3 linked regions of the Astyanax mexicanus genome follow. The protein of the gene in region 1 interacts with the protein of each later gene in a pairwise test. Links are inferred from orthologs where the notes say so. Each region holds a gene or a part of one and is shown in the gene's direction. Other genes may lie near its edges. The genes, in order: ehhadh, kctd9a and actb1.

Region 1 (8,155 bases):
CAGAACGGAAATAAAGAAAATATATGGCATTTCCTGTCCTGCTAACAAAACTGAGAAGACAAAAGATGAATCAGATTTGGTGTGAAGTTTCACTAAGTAAAAAAACACAATTTTATTCTGTGTAAAAACTCCTTTGGGTTGATTTCGAGAACATGGATTTAGGTTGTTTTTTATTAAACCATATTGAGTTAAAGTCTGGGTTTAGATTTTTTCTGGATAGTATGGAATTTGAGTCATAGTGTAAATAGCAGTTATATTATAATATTAGATTTTTTTTTTTTTTTTTTAGGTTTTTAATAAAATGGAAAAAAATACCCACTTTTCTCTGCAGCAGAGTAACTTTGACAGGGAAGAGCCGGACGATGTGCTGTTTTCCGAACGCCTGTGAGAGCAGGAAGCAGAGTGTGGCCCCTACAGTGGTCAGAACACAGGCCAGCAGCAGACCCAGCCAGGGTCCAAACAGCGCCCCCGCCAGGATATTCTGAACAACACAAAAACACACATTAAAAAACCTCAGAGCAGAGAGTTAGGGGGGTTATGAATACTTAAGAAGAATAGAAGCTTACCCAGTAAGAATTTGGGTCAGATTCCTCAGCTAGTCCTTACAGTGAAATACAGGCTCTACTGACAGAACTACTATTAAGGCTGCACATGATGACTGTTATTACTGATTAATATCGGTACCACTTTTAAAAAAAAGACTGCCTTTATAAAGGCTTTATAAATGGTTTACAATTAGTTTATTAATGGTTACTAATTAGTACTTTTAAAGTGGTACCTTAATATCTAAGGACTTTTTATAGGACAATTTTATAGTTTATAATTTTACTCATTGACAAAATTAGAGTAGAATGAAGCTTATATGTGTGAATGTAATAATGATGTATGTAAGTGAAATAAGGACTTGTTGAGTATCCTGTTAGTGTCTCTAGCCTGGGTACAAGATAAGATACAGTTGAGAATGGAGGTATGCAGGTCCTGTATGGCATCCTGCAGCACACAGATTTACCCACAGATGTTGCAGCTGGACCTGTAGATCCTGCTTTACTCTTGTAGGTTGCTGAATTTAGCATTCCCATTGCTAAGATACATTTGATGTGTGTGGGTCAGCATTATCCTGCTGGAAAATGCCAGTTGGAAGCTCTGCAGGATGTTGGGAAGAGGGGTGGGTAAACTGAACTATCGCTTTAATCGAGGGAGAGTGTGGGAGTGTGTGTGTGGTTCTTAGTGTAGTAGGGCAGTACCAGCAGGGAGGATCCGGGGATGGCGAAGGCCTGTTTGTAGATGTAGGCGCTGCAGAACAGCAGCAGAACATATCCACTGTGTTCCTGCTGATAGTGCCTCAGCAGAGCCGCCTGCTCCCGAAGCTCCTCTAGATCAGACGGGAACTTCAGCCTGGAACACACACACACAGGCATGCACGCACACACACACCGATAGTTATTATATGGATTATTATAGGAGATCTGTAGTCAATATGGCCTGTATTGAAATGTCAACAGTATAATATTCTGAATTATGCCCTAATGTACTAATATACACATGCCTAGTCATAAATCAAATTCATAATCCTAATGAAGCCATATTCGGAAAATAAAGTTTTTTTTTTTGAGGTGGTGGTTGAGGACGTTTATAATGACCTCCAGATTTAGCATGAGTATTGTTTTTTGACAAGACATGTTATGAGTTGAAAAAAAAGTTAGAATTCAACTAATTCATAATATTATATAAACAATATGATTCATATTTTTCATTTATTACAGCAGAAAATATTTAGCTTCATATATGGTACCCCAATGACTGGAATTGTCCTTTCCACCTTAAATAGTGTAGCACTTACACTGTAACAGCTGCAGCTGATCCAGCAGTTACACTGTGTATACGCTGCACCATTTAAGGTGGAACGGACAATTCCAATCATTGTGGCAGCATGTTAAGGCTACCGTTCCTACCCGGTTCCCGCTTCTGGTTCCCCATCACCCAGGTGAGCTGAGGGCAGGTGAGCGGACAGCAGGTACAGGTAAACGGAGGACAGCAGCAGAACCAGACCCAAACCCAGCACAGACCGCATGTCGGAACCACAGCAGCAGCAGCGGAGAGACCACAACAGCGGAGGGACCGTGGGAGGGTCACGTGGTTCTCAGGAGCCAACCAGATTCCAGTATTCTGCTGTGGCGGCCGCGTCCCAATTTGATCACGTTCACTTCCTGCCTTATTGTTATGAAATACATATAGACGTGTATTAAAAACCAAAGCTGCAACAACACAAATACGAGTATTAACTAAACGAATGCTTTAGTACTAATAATCCTATTAACTTTATACTTTATTCCATTATATATTTGATTTCTAATTAGAAAAAATAATTTCACTAATTAAAATAAGTGTTTAAATAATAATAAAAAAGAAAACCAGTTGTGGAATTAATGTTAACAAAAGCTTAAAATGCCAAGAAATAATACAACAATATAAAACAAATACATACATAAACCTATATCAAACATTACTTCTAAGTTAAACACACACAAAAAAATCAGGTTAAGCACTTGTTCCAAATCATGTATTTAACTTAACAAATATATACACTAAATATTCTCTTTAAATGATGGTGGTATATTGGTATTTTATTGTTAAATAATAATTATATAAACGTGCATTTTCCATAGCTATCATGCACCATCCACCTAATTTGACATTATTTTAATTTTATTTTAATTTAATTTGTTTGATTTTTTAATTCATTTTTAATAATAATTTATTTATTATAAAAATATACACTTTTTTCATTTTCTCTGCGGTGCTGTCCTTGTTTCACCTGTTTATTGTCTTATTAATTGTAAATTTAATATTTTATTTTTGTATTTGCTTTTTTTTGTTTACCTTTTTATTATTATATTTTGATTATTTTAAATTATTTATTTTTTATTGGTTCTGATCTGTGCACTATTATAATTATATAGGTGTATATTATGTCATTCTTTATGCAATTTAATGCAATTACTTAACTTTTATTTATTTAATTTGTTCCAATGTGATTGTCACTTGTATAGGGTGTAGAGAGCAGGGAGCGATTTGGGACAGAGCCTCGGTTTGACAGCGCCAGTCTGTTTACCGTAATATGTGTATTAGCGACTCATTTATTATTTTCCTACAGTGGAAACAGCCCGATAATAAGAAGCTATTCTTAACTCTGCGGGTTTACCTGTGTTATTATGGCTTTCATGCGGCTCCGCCCCCTCCAGCCCTGCTGTTAAACTCCAACCAGCAGTTCCAGCATGACTGTGACTTTTGTTCCACTTTCCTGGATTAAAAACAGCCCTGAATATCAGTGACCTCAGGATCAAAGTCCTGCAGAAGTCCTGCAGAAGCTCCAGATCTTTATTCCAGCTCCATTCAGCTGAACTAGCTCCACTGTCTGAGCTGTATTGATCAGCTATGGCTCAATATGCAAGAACTAAGGGATCGATCGCATTGATCACTCTCACTAACCCACCTGTGAACGCCCTCAGGTGAGTCCTGCAGTCATGCAGACTTAACTCTAGTCTGGGACTCTGTTCACCTGTAAGATTGCAAGTTTTGCATTTACTGTAATAATAGAAGATGTACTACATTGATATAAATAATAGTGCACATGCTGATTTAAGAATAAAAGTAATCAGTACTTTGCAGACAGTCTGTACCTGCACAGTTGTGTGCTCTCCTGCAACTGACCACAATTTGTAGATTTTTAAGATGGTCTAAGCTCGTCTTTCAGGTGAAAACACGCCATATACTTGATGAAAATAGTATATAAGTTAGCATTTGATTTTGGTAATGCTGGTAGCCATGGTGGTTAATCTGCTTGGTCAGGTGGACCAGTTATAATAACCCTCAAAGTAATGCTGTGCGATATGTCGATAAATATCGTGGGAATGATAGAAAAGTGTCTATCATGCTACTTACCTTCTATCAGCCCTATCGTTTCTACAGTAATTTAATCAATTATTCATGCAAATATATAAAGTAGGCTACGATGAAATGTATTGGCTTGGTCACGTTGCATAAACTCGGTTTATATAAGTGATAATTGAATAATCTTTGCAAAAAAGCTTCATAATGTGGTTTTGCAACATGACGCTGCTTTACGTTATTTGACAGACACTTTAAAAATGGTAATTGAGTTTATTTTGATAGCTCAATTTAAATACCTGTATAATAAAAGAAAACAGCTACTGCATCTACCTCATCTGTTTTCATTTGATACATATATATTGCTGCACTAAAAGGTAGTAATTCTCATTTGTGAAAGTTTGATTTATTGTCACGTTGAAATAAAGTTGGAAAAAAGGAAGCAATGATGTTATTTTGTCATATTTTTCGAAGAATAACTGAAAACATACTTAAATGTGGTATATCATGATATATATCGTTATCGTGATATAAACAATTCAATATCGTGATATATGATTTTTCCCATATCGCCCAGCACTACCTCAAAGTGGCCATACGATATGTTTTAAATCATATTGCGATACTATAAACAGCGATAATATATTGCTTAAATGTATTGTTTAAATAAAGTTCTTAAAAATATATTTTACAGTGTAATAAACACAATATCATACAGTATTTATAAAATCTGATTTAAAGAAAAGTTTACTTTTTATCCAATCAGAACAGTGGAATCTAACAAGAGAGTGGTGAAAATTACATTATAGAATTATCGTACAATTAATGGACACGACCTCAATAATATTTAATAATCACTACACATCAATAACAGTGAACAGTGTTTTAGACAGTCATGCAGTGACCAGTGCTTCAGTAACTGTGACTCCATGCACACAGTGTATAAAATCCATGTTCTCATATATTTGAGCTGATTAGAGAGGTGTAAAATGTTAATATGTGAATGTTTTTCTCTCTGTATCTCATGGTTTTAGCTCTGCAGTGAGGAAGGGCATCACTGAGACTGTTTCCAGAGCGCTCAACGACACACAGGTGAAGGCTGTGGTGCTGTGTGGGGAAAATGGACAATTCTGTGGAGGTAAACACACTCAAACACACCCATAATACCAGCACACACAAAGAACTCACAAATGGTACACATAGAGTACTCACATAGTACACATGTGGTACAGACAATACTTATTAAGAGTACATTACATAGTACTTATGTAGCACACATATAGTTCATACAGTATATGTACTTGCAGAGTTAATATATAATACTGATATAGTACACATCAAACCAAGCTGAACTGCTTGAATATTTGCACCAGGAGTAAAGCAGCATAAAGTTATCCAAAAGCAGTGTGTAAGACTGGTGGAGAACATGTCAAGATGCATGAAAACCGTGATTAAAAACCAGGGTTATTTTATATTTAAATGATGATTTCTTAACTCTTAAAACTTTATGAATATAAACATGTTTTCTTTGCATTATTTGAGGTTTGAAAGTTCTGCCTCTTGTATCTTATTGCAGACATTTCTCATTTTCTGCAAATAAATGCTCTAAATGACACTATTTTTATTTGGAATTTGGGAGAAATGTTGTCTGTAGTTTATAGAATAAGACAACAATGTTCATTTTACTTAAACATAAACCTATAAATGCATACAATACACCTATAGTTCATGTATATTCATATATTACACATGATACTACCATAGTACACATAATACTCCTAAAAAGCAGTGTAATACTTATTTAGTATACATAATACTTAAAGTATATACTTACTCAAATAGTATGTATAACAATATTTATAGTACTCCTAAAAAACTCCTGTAGTACCCCAAAAAACAAAAAATAGTTCATATAGTACATAACTTCATATACTACGCATATTTGTCTTAAAGTATACTATACACAATGTAGTACACAAATAATATTTATAGTACCTATATAATAGTATGCATAATAAACGTATATAACACATATACTGTACTTGTATATTTGAAAAACAATATTCATATAGTTTTCACATATTAGGTTAATGTACTGAGACGTGGTGCTGTGTGTGTGCTGTTAAACAGGAGCAGATATTAAGGAGTTTGCTAAGCCCATGTCTGGACCGGCGCTGGTGCCCATGATCCACGCTATAGAGGCGGGGGAGAAGCCGGTGGTGGCGGCTATAGAGGGCATAGCGCTCGGAGGGGGGCTGGAGCTGGCACTGGGCTGCCATTACCGTGTGGCTCACGCCAAGGTAAACTACTGATACCTGATGATGATGAAATATGTATATATGGATGGAGACATTAGGCCTGTCACAATTATCACATTATTGATTTATTGTACGATATATTAACCTGACCTTTATCATTTTACCCATCCTTTTATTATAAACCCCATCCCAGCCCACCTTTCACCTACTGTAGTAACTGGTGTGAATGTAAACATAAACAAAAATATATTTGAGTTTGTTGAGTGTAGAGAGGAGTGAGAGTGTGGAGAGAGGTGTGAGAGTGTGCAGAGAGGAGTGAGAGTGTGTGTAAAATGGAGTGAGGGAGAGTGTAGTGAAAGAGTGTGTTGTGTGTGAGAATGTAGAGTGTAAAAAGGAAGTATAAAGAGGAGTGATAGAGAGTGTGTAGTGGAGTAAGAGTGTATAATAGTTAGAGCAAGAGAGTGTATAGTGGAGTGTAGAGAAGAGTGAGAGAGAGTATATAGAGTGTATAAAGGAGTGGGAGAGAGTGTGTAGAGTGTATAAAGAGTAAGTGAGTGTACAGAGGCGTGAAAGAGAGTGTTTAGAGTGGGTAGTGGAGAGAGTGAGTGTGTAGAGTGTATAGAGGAGTGAGTGTGTAGAGTGTATAGAGGAGTGAGTGTGTAGAGTGTATAGAGGAGTGAGTGTTTAGAGTGTATAGTAGAGTAAGAGAGTGTGTAGAGTGTGGTGAGAGTGTAGAGTGGAGTAAGTGTATAGAGGAGTGAAAGAGAGTGAGTGTGTAGAGTGTATGGTGGAGAGAGTGAGTGTGTAGAGTGTATAGAGGAGTGAAAGAGAGTGTGTAGAGTGTATGGTGGAGAGAGTGAGTGTGTAGAGTATATAGAGGAGTGAAAGAGAGTGTGTAGAGTGTATGGTGGAGAGAGTGAGTGTGTAGAGTATATAGAGGAGTGAAAGAGAGTGTGTAGAGTGTGTAGTGGAGAGAGTGAGTGTGTAGAGTATATAGAGGAGTGAAAGAGAGTGTGTAGTGGAGAGAGTGAGTGTGTAGAGTATATAGAGGAGTGAAAGAGAGTGTGTAGAGTGTGTAGTGGAGAGAGTGAGTGTGTAGAGTGTATAGAGGAGTGAAAGAGAGTGTGTAGAGTGTGTAGTGGAGAGAGTGAGTGTGTAGAGTGTATAGAGGAGTGAAAGAGAGTGTGTAGAGTGTATGGTGGAGAGAGTGAGTGTGTAGAGTATATAGAGGAGTGAAAGAGAGTGTGTAGAGTGGGTAGTGGAGAGAGTGAGTGTGTAGAGTATATAGAGGAGTGAAAGAGTGTATAGTAAAATGAGTGTGAGTGTACAGAGTGAACTGTGGCCCAGTTAATTAATGTGTGTTAGATGTGCACCTTTGATATAAAGGCTTATTATTATTATATAAAGTGTGTCTCAGTTGTGTATGCACGTGTGTGCACGCATGCACGTCTGTGTTTGTGTCTGTGTCTGTGTGTGTGTGTGTGTGTGTGTGTGTGTGTGTTTGTGTGTGTGTGTGTGTGTGTGTTTCTAGGCTCGTATGGGTCTTCCTGAGGTCACTCTGGGTTTGCTCCCGGCTGCTGGAGGAACACAGCGTTTACCCCGACTCACCGGAATCCCTACAGCCCTGGAGCTCATTACTACAGGTCACACACACACACACACACACACACACACACACACACACACACACACACACACACACACACACACACTCTCTCTCTGTGGGAATCAGAAATCAGAATTGAACAGTGTGTAGAGTGTTTGTCCACTAGGGGGCAGCACTGTAGTGAGGGGAAAGGTCACCACACGAATGTTCAGACCAGAGACTGTAAAATAGATGGACGCCGTGTCTATTCAATGAAAGTGAAGCCAAAATCTTCCTCCATGTTGGCGATCCTGCCACCTGATTCTGCGCAGTAGAGACCAGAGGAGGGAGAAAGACTGTGGAGAGCAGCCTACTCATTTAAATAACCCCGCCCCTGAGGGCTGCCTCGCGGTCACAGACTGCA
Region 2 (8,155 bases), on another chromosome or scaffold:
TTTATTTATGCTGTAGACATTAAAGATGATACCAAATATGAGACAAAATAATATAATTTCAGATTTTATTTCCACGCATTTACTACTGGATCTTATACACAGTATAGAAACAGTGTAGGGGAATGAATGTATGATATAAGGTAGTTTCCCAGGGATTGAGCCAAACTGTAGACTATATTTTCCTTTCAATAGAAAAACTCCATTCAAAATGCTGTTTAGTCTAAGTCTAGGCTTAATCTCAGTCTAGGAATCTGCCCATTATATACCCAGACTTTTGAGAAAGGACATCTGGTCTCTCAGATTTGCATTTGCAATCAAGGTAATAATAGGGAGTTTGATTTCCCTTTGCTGCAGTAACAGCCTCTAATCTTCTGCAAAACGCTCAAACTTGATTTTGGAACATTGCTGTGAGGATTTAATGGCATTGGTCCATAAAAGTATTAGTGAGGTCCGGTGCTGATAATGGATGACTGGCTATTTACAGATAAACATAGCACCTAGTCTTATTCTAAAGCCGTTTAGGTTGGAGCTCCTGCACTGGAGAGAAGTCACTTCTACTGCTCCACATGTTAATGCTGCAGGTACTTGCATTATGAAATATATACAGTTTTCTATGGTAATTAAATAAGATTTACAGGCACAACAAAAAGGCTGTGTCTGTAATTGGTGACTGAACTCACTTCTTAAAAGGAGTCTGAATGCTTTTAACACTTAAAACTTAACCCTCTTATTACCTATGGGCTCAATCTGACCCCGTTCAATGTTTAATGGTTGACTTTAGTTTCGTGATTAATATTTATCGTCTTTTCTTAATTTGACAAAGGCAATACATAAAAAATAAAGTGTTTCAATTTTTTTTATTTCAATATATGTTTTATTAAAGCTATTTATTTGCATAAAACATAAGAAATATCAATATTTTACACATATTTGTGTGGTAATAATGTCAAGGTCACAGTAACATTCAGTTTTATAATCTTCCTCTAAATGTAGTCTAACTTAAGGTCCAAACTCAACAAAACAATACTTAAAATACTTATATAATACTAATTTATATATATACTTATATAATACTAACATTATATTAATGCTAGAACATCTGGTAATTCATCAGCTAAACATAAAGAATGGGTGAATAAACTTTTGTAACATGTTTATTCAAATTTAATCATAATTTTAAATGGCTGGGTATTGACCCAGAGAATTAAGAGTGTTAGTAAATATGAGGAAAGCAGGAGGGTTAAAAATGATGAGTTTCTTTGATTTTACCAAATTGAAAAGCTCTGGAATATAATTAAGAAGAAGATGGATGATCACAAGCCATCAAACCAAGCTAAACTGTTTGAAGTTGCCAGGAGTGGCATAAATTTATCCAAAAGCAGTGTGTAAGACTGGTGGAGGAGAACATGCCAAGATGCATGGAAACTGTGATTAAAAAACAGGGTTATTCCACCAAATAGTGATTAAAAACAGGGTTGTTCCACCAAATATTGATTTCTGAACACTTTAAAACTTTATGAGTTAGAACTTGTCTTCTTTGTTTGTTAAAATGGCTGCAATGTCATGTAGGCTAATTTTGACAGATAAGACTTACAGCTCTCAGGAAACTGGGACCTACCTGTAAACTTCAGTAAGATTTATGGCCTGTTTAAAATAGCAGCCAATGCCTTACTGGATGTGCCCAGATTACACTAGTTAAATAAGCAAAGATGATCCGTTGTCCTCATTTCTTTAACACCATGTTACTAAAATATCTAAATTGTGAGGCTGCAGTAAAGTGTTTTCCTTTTCTGCCATCTAGTGGAGAAGAGGCTCTTTTCAGTGCAGTGCTAAATAAAATCATAAAAACATAAAAACTTGTATGTTTTCTTGTACATATAATAAACACAAGAAAAAAGTGCCAAACCTAGTTTGCCTGACTGCCACTGGCTACACAGAACTGTCAGTGTTTTTTTTAACAATAGGGAAACTGTTTGTTTTAAATTAAGATGCCAACAAAATATAACTTTTATGTTTCATGTCAAGTCAAGTCAAGAGGCTTTTATTGTCATTACATCTGAGTACAGGTACACAGTGTGATGAAATTACGTTCCTCCGGAACCATGGTGCAACATAGAACAACAAGCAATAGACAACATAAAATGCAGGAGTGACGACAGTGCAACATAAAATTATAAAATTATAACACTAAATAACAATAAATACAAAAGACGAGACAATTTAAAGACAGGACAGTGCAGTACCGATACGGTATAATAAAGTGTATAGTGGGGATAAGGTGCAGAGATGTGTGACATACTGTAACATATAGAACATATATAATCACAGCAGTTACTGAGGTAGAGTTTATAGTTTTTAAGAGTGCAGCAAATAAAGTCATGTCAGCCTCTGTGTGCTGACTGGGTGTGTGTGTGGGTGAAGTTCAGTTCTTTGTGAGTGTAAAGGGAGGGGGGGGGGGGGGTGTACAGTTTAGTTTTGTGTAAAGGGGGGGGGGGGGGGTTGTACAGTTTCATTCAACCCTGCTTGGTAAAGGCTCCAAGCATTGCTTTCGCTTTACAATGCAGATCAGGGTTGAAGGTAGGGGTGGGAATCACAGGGTGCATCATGATACGATATTACCAAAATAACAATGGTTTTAAGATACTGTGGTTCTGTGCTAATTCTCTCTGAAACTTCAAGCTGTGTTACTCATTAGAATAAAATACTCCTGAATATGCAAATACCAGGAATTATGTATTTACATAGATAGATACTTTATTTATCCCGAAGGAAATTTAGGCATCCAGCAGCAACAACACAATACAATAAGAAACATACTCAGCCAAATCAAAACACAGAAGAATAGAAAATATATAAGGCTATAAAAACTATAACAAACAAAAAAACCTAACTATACATGCGTCAGTTTCAAAGTTTTATACAATTTGACAACTAATATTCTTCCCTGCAGGTTTACCTAAAGGTGGAGTATGTAGTTAACTGCTGCAGCAGCACACAGAAGAGCGGAGGGAGAGGGGAGGGTTTAGTGTGGATGTGAGTGACTATAACTACTATTTTTAAGTCTATACTAGCTATATTCTCTACTAGTATATGTATGTTTAGACAGACTAGCTATGGTGTCCCTGCTGTACTGTTATTACTGTTCTGCTTCCTACAGTGAATTTAAGCTATTTTAGCAAACCTTCCCACAGCTCCAGAAACGCCACGCTGAGGTAATTATTTCCCTTTGCAAATTCCTCATGAGTGAAGCTACACCACAATTGTGTCTGATTGGCTGGTCTCGCGAGCCGACACGTGTAGCTCTGTCCTGTGATTGGTCTGTTCGCAAGGCTAGTAACAATAGCGTCACTCTGATTGGACGGCGACTGGGTGAGCTGGGCTCTGGCTTCACTGTGTGAATCTGGTTTAGCCTGTTACTGAGTAACTGTGGGATGAGTTCGCTGTAGAAATCGGTCTAGTTTTGTTTATTAAACTCAATATTGTACATAATTATAGCTTAAACAAATAATGCGAAGAGTCACGCTTTTTGTCAACGGCTCCTCCAAAAATGGAAAGGTGAGGATTGAAGAGTTCGTTACAGTGATGTTGAATGACTTTTGTGTAAAGGTGCAAAATCCAAGTTCAGAAAGTAAAAATCCTCTCCGGGATTTTGTTCTCAATGTCTTGGCGGATCGGCTGCGGCTCAAATCCCGGAGCGGATTTTTACTTTCTGAGTCCGCTGGCTCAACTAACTTAGCTAGCGCTAGCTAGCATGTATGGCTAGTCTTAGATAGAGGAAATCATGTTAACAGTGTTGTGTTTAGCTGGTATTTGTGTAAATAATGATAATCATGACCCGTGTTGGTGTGAAACTTGTGTTTATTTTGTAATTATAGCTATATTGTGTATTAATTTAACATAGCTAAGCTTAAGACTATAACGTTACATAGCATCTAATGGTCAGGCCCATCTAAGATAGCTTAGCTAACTAGTTGGGTAGCTACAGCTCTGAAAAAAAAAAATTAAGAGAGCACTTTATTTTCTGAATCAGTTTACCTGATTTTGCTATTTATAGGTATATGTTTGAGTAAAATGAGCATTATTGTTTTATTCTATAAACTACGGACAACATTTTAGTCAAAATTTTTCCCAAATTCCAAATAAAAAATATTGTCATTTAGAGGATTTATTCGCAGAAAAAGAGAAATGGCTGAAATGACAACAAAAAAGATGCAGAGCTTTCAGACCTCAAATACTGCAAAGAAAACAGCTTTATATTCGTAAAGTTTTAAGTGTTCAAGAAATCAATATTTGGTGGGATAACCCTGGTTTTTAATCACAGTTTTCATGCATCTTGGCATGTTCTCCTCCACCAGTCTTGCACACTGCTTTTGGATAACTTTACGTCACTCCTTGTGCAAAAATTCAGTTCAGCTTTTTTTTTTATGGCATTCATCATTCATCTTTCTCTTGATTATGTTCCAGAGGTTTTCAAAGAAACAAAATTTATTTAAGTGCTTTTATTTTTTTTCCAGATCTGTATACTTATTACCCAGCTAGCTAGCTAACTAACTACTAACCAACCAGTAACGTGTAAAGTTTATTTATCATTAGTTTTTTATAGCAATATGAGTACTACTATCTATAATTTCCCACATATATATTGATATTATGTCCCTGAAATGTCATATTATAACTTTACAACACTGATTGAAAGAAGGTCTGACTGCATAATATTGTCCTGAATAGGAGAAAATGTTAATTAAAACCGTTAATATATTTCATTGGATATGGAAGCACCTGTACATATTTCATTGTCGTTTCTTTAAGATATTTATTTAAATTATGAATATGAGTATGAAACATGTCATTACTTTATAGTGACCGTATCAATTATATTCTTATTATATTGTATATATAAATTCTTCCCCCTCATTTTATTTAATGAAGGCTTGTATTGTGAAAATATATTTTAAAGTTAACTGATTATTTTTTGTAAACCACCACCAAAAAAAAAAAAAAAAACTTTCTCAGAGGTAAGTTGGTGACCACTTGGTGTTTGTGTAGTCTTGTAGTGTAAACTGCTACAGCCAAAGGGATCATGTAGAAACAGAAAACCACGGCTCCAAAACAAACCTTCTGCATGGCCAGAGCTGTTTATGCAGAGTCTGACCACTTTCCCAATATTTCCCCAATATATCAGAAAGTTACTGTTCAACGCTAGAGGAAACTCAATGGGGGTGGAAAAAAGTCAAAAACTAAAATTATATGTAATAACTACTTGTTCTGAGTTTTATTTAATGTTATAAGCAAAAAAAAGTGTACCTGTATATTTCCATTGTTCGACAGCAAACAGGTTTAAGCAGTAAAGAATCTAGCGTACTGTGTTGAGATTTTCAGATATTTATAAATTCTGATTTTGCTCAGTTGCTTCATATGAACCTGTTCATCTTGGACTCACTTCAAGTGGGTATTCTCCTCTCTAGAGATTCTCTGGCATTGCTACTTTACACGTGGGTTTAGTTCTGGCATGTTCCTATGATTCTTTGCTCACTAAACTGCAGTGTGAAACCAAATCTAGCTGGACCAAATGTACACAATGTAACAAAGACCCAAGTCTTGGTGCAGACATTAAAGTGTAAAAACACCTTTAGTGAGCTGGATAATTTCAGTTCACATCAGTTTGAACCAACATTAGTTTGTTTCAGTAATCCTGACCTCTGCTTTTTTTTGTCTTGTAGGTTGTAGCAGTATATGGCACTCTGTCGGATCTCTTATCCGTTGCCAGCAATAAACTGGGAATCAGGGCTAGTAATCTGTACAATGGCAAGGGAGGCCTCATTGATGATATAGCCCTCATTAGGTAAGTTATGTTCCGATGGAGGTTCCTGGTACTGGTACTTATTGTTTGTCCTTAATCAACAAAGATTAATCATGTGTGACTCTCTGTTTTGCAGAGATGATGATGTGTTATATGTGTCTGAGGGAGACTCCTTTGTCGGTAAGTTGGTGTCATGATTAAGTTTGTCATTTCCTCATATACCTGAAACCTCACATGGGAAACAATGAAAGTGTCCTCAGAGCACGTATACACTTGTTTGTGTTTGGGTGTGTTTCAGATCCTCAGACTGAGGAAAAGGCTGCAGAGGACTCTTCAAGCTGCCACACTGATTGGTTGACTTTAAATATTGGTGGGCGTCTCTTCACGACCACACGGCAAGTAGAGTTCTTTTAAGATGCTGGGTGATGTTTTAAGGGTTTATAACCGTGTTTGAATAGTTAAAAAACGGTTACAAGCTTCAATTATTTTTGTTTTAGCTGGACTAGCCATAAGTACTAATTTACAAATGTTTGTGGACACTCCTTTAACTTTGAGTCCTGTAGAGAAGCATTACCAATAGAATAGAACTCTGGAGTAGAACCTATTGATACCTGACCATTGCATAATGTCAGTCATGGCCTAGATTAGTATAAAGTCTACTAGCATTGAGCTGTGGAGCAGTAGAAGAACTGTGCTCTCTAGAATGATGAGACTCCATTAGTGCTTGGTGGTATGACCAAAAATGCATATCATGGTATTTTGCAAGATTCTGGCGGTTTCACTGTATATCACTGTATTTTTATTATTATTTATTAATAGTTTATTTATTATGAACCGTCAGTATGTAACCTAAATAAAATCTGCAATAGTAGATTGAAATCTGGACCAAGTGAAATACACAGTTTTTCATCAAATAAATGGTTGAATCAACCATTTATGTTCAAGATATCCAATGAGGTTTTTGGTTTCTCCAGTTAAAAAAAACAAAACATATAAATGTATAATATACATGTATGAAAACTGCATTGCTAATAAAATCCATTATTATTTTTCTCCCTTTAGGAGCACTCTTGTGAGTAAGGAGCCGGACAGCATGCTGGCTCATATGTTTAGAGAAAAGGGTGAGCATTTTATAACACAACGATTCAGATATATTCGTCCATTGCAGACAGTATTAAATTATTCATGAAATATTAAAATTTCTCTCTCTGCTGTATTCCAGATGTGTGGGGCAACAAGCAAGATGAGCGAGGTGCCTACCTCATTGACCGCAGTCCTGAGTACTTTGAGCCTATTCTAAACTACCTGCGACATGGTCAACTTATTGTCAATGAAGGAATCAACTTGCTGGGTTAGTGTGTGCATCATATCTCATTTGAGAATGACTAATATAAGCAATGCATCCTCTGAGCTGCTTTCCTTGTAGCTGGTTTTAATATTGTGGCTCAGGCTTGCCTAATTGTTACCCTAACAACATTAATCTGAGATTTTTGTATTACCATATTTTTCGCACTATAAGACGCACCTAAAATCCTTAAATTTTCCTAAAGAATCCGTCTCAACGTCAGTGCGTCTCATAATCCAGTGCGCCATATTTATGAATTTTAGCAGTCAGGTTGTAAGAAGCAGTAAAGCCACTCTACTGAAGTGCAGCGTAATACAGGAGTTTTAGTCTAGCTCTTCAGCATCGAGGCTGGATCAGATTTGTGTAGATTTACATCCACTGCTTAATAACTTCGTTAAGTAAATCACTTTATAATGGCGTCAGAGCCCTCTAAATCCTAAGGTGCCTACATTTCATTACCAGCTCACCACAATGATTGAATATTACAAGGTACTCATTTACCAAAGCTGGTATTTCTATGAACAAGAAATAATACTAGACTCATATAAGGAGTGCTTTGGAAATGTTTTAATGAACACAGTTTTGTATGAATTTGATTTATGTTTAGTCTGATATTATTGTTTTACTAAATAAATAGATAATTATTTCCAATATATTTTTTTCTAATATTCACATGTGACTAAGTGATAGATTTAAAGGTTACATGGAGGTTTACCCATTGGGCCATATGTAACATTGCCATTTCTGGCATTATGTGTCTACATTTTCCGGGTTTCAAAGAAACATTGTTAAAAAATGTAACTGTAGATGTAGTTTTCATCACTAATGACGGATTACAAACATAATTAGCAGTATGTCTTGCACTCATTCTCTCAGACAGATTGGCTATCAGCCAACATGGGGAAAGTGTAGAGATTTTCATTTTTGTAATAGTGCTTGTGTTTTTGTTTCATCTTATTCTTAATCTTCAGGCGTACTGGAAGAAGCTCGGTTCTTTGGAATTGAGCAAC
Region 3 (8,155 bases), on another chromosome or scaffold:
CTGTACCCTCTGCTTTGAAACGAAACTCTAAAGGTTGAGAACAGTTTCTTTAAATAAGTCTTACTGACCCAAAAAAGGTAGAACTGTAACAGAATACTCACTTTAATCAGTTTAAAAAAGATATCTCAGTACATCTCAGTGTACTTTAAAAAAAAAAAATAAAAAAAAAAATAAAGGATTGATGAATTCAAAATAAAAACTTTATTTCCTTTTTAAGTATACAGTAATCTGTTTTTCATTCTTATTTTCTTTTTTTGCCAGATTTTCATGTGACTCTCATCCTGTGGTTTTCATTTATTGACACCGTTCCAACTCCAGATTATTCGTCCTGATGGTGTGACCTGAACTTGTTTACAGCTTTTTTGATGACATATGCAGTTTCTATGTAGCAACAAGCAATACACTTATAACACAAAGTCATTCAAATTTTGGACAATAGCAACCATATAGCAACAATTTAGCAGGACCATAGCAACCGCTTGAAATACCATAGCAACCATTTAGCAACCGTCTTTAAAAATACCTGCATGTAATCCCACTTTATCTGCACAGCTATTCCATGCTTCCTTTTGAAATGCACTTTTCTAGTTATATTTCTTTTTTGTATTACTTTTCTGCTTTATTTCTTAACTTAGTCTTATTTTTTGTTATCTTACATATGCCACCCTTAAGGTTCTTTGCGTGCTTTCTATTGAAGGCAGTGGTTTTATAAAGAAAAAGAACAATCTGAATGATTTAAAGGGTTTTTTGCCTGGTAAAAGGGTTTTCTTATAGACAAGGGAAACCTGTTATATAACTGTTTAAACTAGCGTGGTTCTAAATATAGCAAGAAAAGGACTTCCACTGCTGTTATAAATATTATAAAAATAAAGAATACATTTGATTCTATATAGAACCCCCTCTGTTTGAAAAGGATGATGTTGGTGCTACATAAATAAAGAACATGTTGCATAAATTAATGATGGGTTATTCATTTTAAAGTTGCTAGGGAAAGAAAACTAAAGAAAACAGAAATTCTTAAATAATACATTCAGAGGATAACGCACTTAAAAATGCATTAAGGAAGATTGCCACAAATTGTCTCCTTCACAAAGTGCTTCCAGCCAGTGACTGTCCAGAGCTTTGGTCATGTTTGGGCATGGCCACTTATCTATGTCATTTATCAGGATTGAGAAGCTGAATTTTTAACAGGCTGCATTCAGACATTCCACACATAGCACGACCACCAAGCCTTGTGTGGTATTACACAAAGACAAATAGTTTAAGACATCTAATTACTCCATTAAAGCATGTTAAGCTTTGTTAATTTTTTAAAGTGTAATTTAATATGAACGCTTTATTGAACTCTTTTATATCACTGGTGTATAATGGGTCAGTTAGGAACCTCACTAAAAAAACATCCACTATAGCAAAGCAGGGGTCACACACTGAGGCCCAGCCAACTGAAAAGCAGTGCTGATTGGCTGCTGGAATCATGTGACCAGCCTAAGGGCATGGATTGTCTGGACTAGCATCTCTTGAAAATCCTTTTCGTCTCTTGTGGACAAACTCATATGGTAAGTATTACTGTGGCTGATTCGACAGTAGTCTGCTCAAATGTGTGCTTTTTTCTTGCGCACAGAAAATGTAAAAATGGTAATGTTAAATAATCGTCTTTCTACATTTTTTTCTGATAGAACCACATGAGCAAGGGGTTACTTTGGAAAACCTTTGTCAAGCACTACAATACAGAGTTACTACATTCACATAAACCACTTACTTAAAAAAATTGCTGAGCTTAAAGGCATCTGGGACAGACTCCCACGTAATGAACATATCTTTGGTTTGAAAATTATATATTATGCCATTTACAAATAAATAGTATATGACAGTGTAATATTAGCTTGATTGAGTATCAATTTTAATAATGTTTGGAATGTTTAAATGTTTCCATTACTTAGTGTTTGTTTGAATGCAGTGCAATGCAAACCATTATTAGGTCACGTATGTCTTTAGAAGGTTTATAGAACTTTATATTTCTTAGGACCTGGTACTCATTTTAAATTAAAGCAATATATCAATAAGATGAATGCATTTTAAATTCATCCCAAAAAAGCCATGTGGAGAAAAGGCAGGCTTTGCTATGGAGGTGGACACACCCACCAGTAAAACAGTAACAATATGTCCACTAACTATAAAAGGCTAAGGACTGAGAATTTTCAAATAATAGCTAATAGAAAGGTCTAATCTTCTGTGATCTTTATAATTGCTGATGCTTGCTTGGCCATCACTCCAATGCATAATAATGTATTTTTTCTAAACATTATTAAGATACCAGCAGTGCATTAATTGTGTGTTTGTGTGTGTGTGTGTGTGTATGGACTGTGCATTAGACAGCAGGTCTTATCCTCTTGCAAATGAGTGCAAGCAGCCACGCCCACGTATTTCAAATCCCAAACTGACCCATATCAGAGACAATGCTGCAGGCAGGCCTGTGTGAATGCCTTTGTTGCACTGTATAGAGCCTGAAAGGCTGAAAAGCACTGCTTAGCTCAAAATAACCCAAAAGAGCTTCACTGCATGAGCTGGTTAGCTGGACGAGCTGCATGTTTTGATGGGACTTTCAGATTAGTGAACCTTTTAGCTAAAGATAAACAAACAGTAAACACATGTGTGAACTTCTTGTAACTGTGGGTCTACAATGATAAAGAATATTAACTAACTAACTTTTATTTCCTGTGGGTACTGGACAGCTATGTGGCTACTATTACAAAATAAAAAAAAGTGATATCTAGATTAGATAACTAACATTAAACATATGGATGGCATAATGTATACCCCAGGTTCCCCTAGGCCTGAGGCTGGCAACATTAACAGTATAAAAATGTTGGCCAACTAACAATTATAAACATAAACGTTGCTCTCTAAACATGTAATATAGTAAAAATGTATAGTAATGTTGATTTCAGTGATTTAATGTAATATATGGTCCATTTCACTCACAGCTCTGTAGTTGCAGTCATATAAATAGATAGATGGCTAAATAGTGAGACTGCAAATTTTTTCAGCCTTTGCTAAGGTTAAAAGGCATGGTCTTTAACATATGTCTTTTTTAAAGTATTCTAGTGTAAAGTTGGCCTAAAACATGTCACCTAAATCATATATTTATTATTAATACATATAAACATAAATATACCGCCTACTTCTGTCACAAATCGTGCTATTTTTCACAGTGTATTTAATAATGCCTCTCCTCACTGCACTTCTGCATCTCACAACTTGAATTTCAAGCAATAAGCTTGAAACACGCCAACTGGGTGACGGCTGGCCAATCAGATCGCTCGAAGCCGAAACGTTACCATATATGGAAGGAGCCGGCCACCGCGCCGGGTATAAAAACTTCAGCCCTCATTATACAGGCTACTCCGAGTTTTCAGTGCACCCGGACAGGAGCAGTTTCTCCCCCTTTTGGTTCCCTGCAAACCGATAAAACACAGGTAAGCAGCTTTTTGTTTGCCGGCTAATACGTTGTAACAACTTGCTACAGCTTATTTGTATATTTTATTTAGACGACTATGTACATTTTTAGGTGGTAAAATTATGTTAGAGAATCACCTTTCTTTGAATGTGAACGCCTAGCTGGCTTAGCTGACCTAACTCCAGCTTTGAGTAACGCCTTGTTCATGAATTTGTTCTGTTATTTTAAATTAAGCTGTTTGACTAGCTAACGTTTTATGTATAGTTAGCTGGTTAACTGACTATCTAAAGGATTAAGTTACAGATTAGCGTTATAAGCTTGTAAATTAACTACCTCGCGTTAACTCGAACCCTTTTGTCTGATGTGTCGAGGTGGCTGACCGTTAGCTTGTATAAGCTAGCTAGCTAAGGTTAGCCCCTCGGGTTAGTCTGCAGCTTCAGTGCATTAAGCCAACTTTGGTCAGCCTAATTAGCTAATGCTAAGCTAGATAACTGCTTTCTATTTTCTAAGTCCTTTAATAAATCATGTATAATTACAGGTTTAGCTAGCTTAACTTTTCGTCCTTTAGCAGAAGTGTTGGCTAGGATAGCTGGGTCACTTCATGCCTTGGTTCTTCTAGTGTAGCACCGTTCTGTTTCAATGGTGGGTGTGGCCACCTCCTTCAGAGGGGAAGCCGGCATCTCCTAGCCTTTTCTTTGAATGAAGGAACTTAACCCTCAAACATGATTTATATATGTTGAGAAAAAAAAACAGCCCCTTCCTTTTTTTTTTAGTAACTTTAGTGGGTCTCTTTTTTTTTCTTTTTTTTTTTTTATTTTTTTTTTTATTATTAATCAAACCCTCTGGGAGCAACTGATTCTGCATGATTGCCTTGTGTTTTGAGAGAATAATGTTCTCCTGTTAGGAAACAACAGCCAAAAAAGACTTTAAAATAGGCCTTTAAATATTTTTTACATATTAAACTGAGGGACGGTGTAAAATCACGTGGTTTGTTGCCTGAGGAAAATCGCTGCCATGCCATAGAGGGTTAAGATAAAGCTTTTTTTTTTTTTTTTTTTTTTTTTTTTTTTTTTTGGACTTGGCAGTGTAGTTTTTAAAGCTGGCCAGGGTTTTTAAGTGTTAATTGGACGCTGAGTTCTAATTTGACTTAACTGAATTAAATTGTGCAGACCAGGCATCTTCCCTTTTTTCTTGTTTTATAAATCTATAAAATAAAACTATGTAGTCTTGGAACCTAATGTACGTTTAATCTGATACTTAAAGATTAAACTAAACTGAGGTTATGCTTGATTGCAGTAAAAGCTTTAGCTTTAACTAGAGAAGGAGGCATATTTCACGTTTGGGATTGTGTAACAATCAGGTTGTTGAAATGGGGAGTGGTCCTGGATGTGCTGGTCTCGTTCTGTAAGCTGAATCGGCAATGGTGAGCAGGCCGAACTTATTGCCTTATAAGGCAATAGTGAGTCTGCCCTGCCACTTCCTTTGTCTCAAATCACTAGGTTTAGGGATGGCGCCTTTGCGCCACCTACTGGCCAACCATAAGCATTACTTCAGAGTGTTTGAGCTTTCAGTGATCTAAGCATGTTTAAGTTGCTGGAGGTGTGTTTCTTAATCCCCTTTTCTCCTTTTTTACACAGCCATGGATGAGGAAATCGCTGCTCTGGTTGTTGACAATGGCTCTGGTATGTGCAAAGCTGGTTTCGCTGGAGATGATGCTCCTCGTGCCGTCTTCCCTTCCATTGTTGGCCGACCCAGGCATCAGGTATGTTGTGCCTTAACAATCTTATTTTGACCAATTTCAATGTGGTGTTTACAAAGGTTTTTTTAAGCTAAATTTTTCAAATTTTAAGAAGTGTTTTTTTTTTTTTTTCTCTCTTAGGGTGTCATGGTAGGCATGGGTCAGAAGGATTCCTATGTGGGAGATGAGGCTCAGAGCAAGAGAGGTATCCTCACCCTGAAGTACCCCATTGAACACGGTATTGTCACAAACTGGGATGACATGGAGAAGATCTGGCACCACACCTTCTACAATGAGCTGCGTGTTGCCCCAGAGGAGCACCCAGTCCTTCTCACAGAGGCTCCCCTGAACCCTAAAGCCAACAGGGAAAAGATGACACAGGTATGCATGCCTTTTGCTAGATCTATCATTGGTAAATAGTAGGCTTTCTGTTTCTCTTCTGTTCATATTTTCATTTCTGTATCTTCCTTCTCAGGCTTTCCATTCTTTGACCTGATCATATTTTCCTTCATATGTAGAAGTCACAGGTTAATTTTATTTCCCCCTCTGCTTGAGATTTACTGCATGAATTGCAGTGTCTTTATCTTAATTTCTTTTCTGGACATCTGTTGCATGATTTTATGTACTAATGACACTTAAGCCTTTGCATTAAAACATTTACTTCCTAATCCTTTTAACTCAGCATACATAGTTTGAAGGGTTAAAAATCTCGTTATGATGCCAGATCAGTAAGTTAAATTTTTCTGTTTTTGTAAATTACAGATCATGTTCGAGACCTTCAACACACCCGCCATGTACGTCGCCATCCAGGCTGTGCTGTCACTGTACGCTTCTGGTCGTACCACAGGTATCGTGATGGATTCCGGTGATGGTGTTACCCACACCGTACCCATCTACGAAGGTTATGCTCTCCCCCATGCCATTCTCCGTCTGGATCTGGCTGGGCGTGATCTGACCGACTACCTGATGAAGATCCTGACAGAGCGTGGTTACAGCTTCACCACAACAGCTGAGAGGGAAATTGTCCGTGACATCAAGGAGAAATTGTGCTATGTGGCTCTGGACTTCGAGCAGGAGATGGGCACTGCTGCTTCATCTTCCTCTCTGGAGAAGAGCTACGAGCTGCCTGATGGTCAGGTCATCACCATTGGCAATGAGCGTTTCCGCTGCCCTGAGGCCCTCTTCCAGCCTTCCTTCTTGGGTAAGTCTTATGGTTCTCAGTTAAATTAAAAAAAAAAAATCCTTAAACACTTAAATTAGAAAAGGGTTTTAATGGAAACTTGTTTCTCTGCATGATAGGAATGGAATCCTGCGGTATCCACGAGACCACCTTCAACTCAATCATGAAGTGTGACGTTGACATCCGTAAGGACCTGTATGCCAACACAGTGCTGTCTGGTGGTACCACCATGTACCCTGGCATTGCTGACCGTATGCAGAAGGAGATCACCTCCCTTGCACCCTCAACTATGAAGATTAAGGTAATTAATTGCATTAGTGTTGAGAAACCACCTGGTACAGGTTATCAATCTTTCAGTGCATGTCTAATTTTCTTTCTCCCCCCTCTTCTGTAGATCATTGCTCCTCCTGAGCGTAAATACTCTGTATGGATCGGTGGCTCCATCTTGGCCTCCCTGTCCACCTTCCAGCAGATGTGGATCAGCAAGCAGGAGTATGATGAGTCTGGCCCTTCCATTGTCCACAGGAAGTGCTTCTAAATGGGACTAAACCACCTCAGCCAGCCATGTGGCTGGCTGATCCTAAAAGAACGACCAACCTTCCCCTCTCAGACAAGACAACATGGGCATGGCTTCTGCTCCGTATGGCGTGCTGCCTCGGTATGAGCAAACTGGAAAGGGGGGTGGTGTCTTACGGGGGAGGAGCTTTCCCCAAGAGGACTCAATGTACATTTCTTCTTTGTCATTCCAAATAGTGTCATGTTTTAATACAGCATCCACCACTTTGCCCCATGTCACAGTGGGAACACATGACCTTGTTAGTGTTGCTTATGTAAATTAAGTACTCTATTACAATGTCTGGTTTTGTTTTTGTACTTCAGCCTTAAACTCGTTCCAGTTCTGTTTGTTATGCAATGGAAGGGAAAAGCTTTACCCATTTGAGTGAAGATCTTGCAGGAGAACTTCCCTGGGGTTTGTGGGTAAGGGGACCACCTGTGGCATGTGAGCCTAGGAGTCTCTACACTGACATGTTGAACCCAATAAAATGTGCACATGTAAAACTCAACAACAGAGTGCTTTCTTTATTTTTTTCCCCCTCAATCACAATGTTTATCTTGCTGCATGGTTAATTAAACTAATGGTATTGAAGCTGTGGTCATAGCTGGCTTCTGTATTATATAATTACAGCAGAAACAAATCTCTACTCTGGCTTGTTAAATTTTAGCTATCATTTACTATTTACAGCTGTGTTCAAATTCCATTTCCACTATTATCACACATTCTGTGCTCTACATATTTGCCCAATATGAAATGTTTATCATGAACACTTGTTCCCAACAAGCTAGTATACCATCTCACATGAAAGGGTTCTTATCCCCCTGATATCCCTTAAATGAATCAATTGATTTGTAATGCTTAAGTTTTAAACATAAACAGCTTGGCCTGAAAAAAGCAGTGCATGTTGAAGTAGAAGTACGTAGCTCTTTTTATCAGAAAATTTACTTTTAAGTCCTGGTTTACTTGCCTTTTTTGTGGCAAGTTCCTAATTATTCAAAATTAACCATTATCAGAGGTTGAAGCTTAAGTCCCTAAAGGGAAACTAACGTGGATGTGGCCAAAATTTACATCAATAATTTTGTTTCAGTTAATGCTAAAACGGTATTGCTATGTATAGTATAAAAGCCACTGCCCTTGCTGAATTTAATCACTCACTGAGCGGGATAGTATAGCACAATATATCAGTATTTAAACACAATATTATGATTAACTACAGGTGGGGGC

The links.
Region 2: the proteins of ehhadh (region 1) and kctd9a interact in binary tests that used the Homo sapiens proteins (3 or more experiments, as listed by UniProt). The two-hybrid records come from large-scale screens. The link is inferred for Astyanax mexicanus from reciprocal best matches to the Homo sapiens genes EHHADH and KCTD9.
Region 3: the proteins of ehhadh (region 1) and actb1 interact in binary tests that used the Homo sapiens proteins (3 or more experiments, as listed by UniProt). The two-hybrid records come from large-scale screens. The link is inferred for Astyanax mexicanus from reciprocal best matches to the Homo sapiens genes EHHADH and ACTG1.

Annotation. Positions count from the first base shown.
Region 1 is NC_064418.1:46,454,800-46,462,954, reverse strand, and holds the start of ehhadh (peroxisomal bifunctional enzyme), read left to right. Parts: upstream 1-3,240; 5' UTR 3,241-3,435; coding exon 3,436-3,509; intron 3,510-4,922; coding exon 4,923-5,026; intron 5,027-6,018; coding exon 6,019-6,188; intron 6,189-7,677; coding exon 7,678-7,789; intron 7,790-8,155. Other genes in the region: tmem41aa (transmembrane protein 41A-A), read right to left, coding at 320-481, 1,245-1,395, 1,953-2,071. UniProt on the Homo sapiens protein: Peroxisomal trifunctional enzyme possessing 2-enoyl-CoA hydratase, 3-hydroxyacyl-CoA dehydrogenase, and delta 3, delta 2-enoyl-CoA isomerase activities. Catalyzes two of the four reactions of the long chain fatty acids peroxisomal beta-oxidation pathway.
Region 2 is NC_064419.1:25,584,318-25,592,472, forward strand, and holds the start of kctd9a (BTB/POZ domain-containing protein KCTD9a), read left to right. Parts: upstream 1-3,384; 5' UTR 3,385-3,507; coding exon 3,508-3,555; intron 3,556-5,720; coding exon 5,721-5,842; intron 5,843-5,936; coding exon 5,937-5,980; intron 5,981-6,098; coding exon 6,099-6,195; intron 6,196-6,862; coding exon 6,863-6,921; intron 6,922-7,022; coding exon 7,023-7,151; intron 7,152-8,116; coding exon 8,117-8,155. UniProt on the Homo sapiens protein: Substrate-specific adapter of a BCR (BTB-CUL3-RBX1) E3 ubiquitin-protein ligase complex, which mediates the ubiquitination of target proteins, leading to their degradation by the proteasome.
Region 3 is NC_064428.1:16,852,388-16,860,542, forward strand, and holds actb1 (actin, cytoplasmic 1), read left to right. Parts: upstream 1-3,334; 5' UTR 3,335-3,476; intron 3,477-5,094; 5' UTR 5,095-5,096; coding exon 5,097-5,219; intron 5,220-5,336; coding exon 5,337-5,576; intron 5,577-5,957; coding exon 5,958-6,396; intron 6,397-6,494; coding exon 6,495-6,676; intron 6,677-6,769; coding exon 6,770-6,913; 3' UTR 6,914-7,442; downstream 7,443-8,155. UniProt on the Homo sapiens protein: Actins are highly conserved proteins that are involved in various types of cell motility and are ubiquitously expressed in all eukaryotic cells.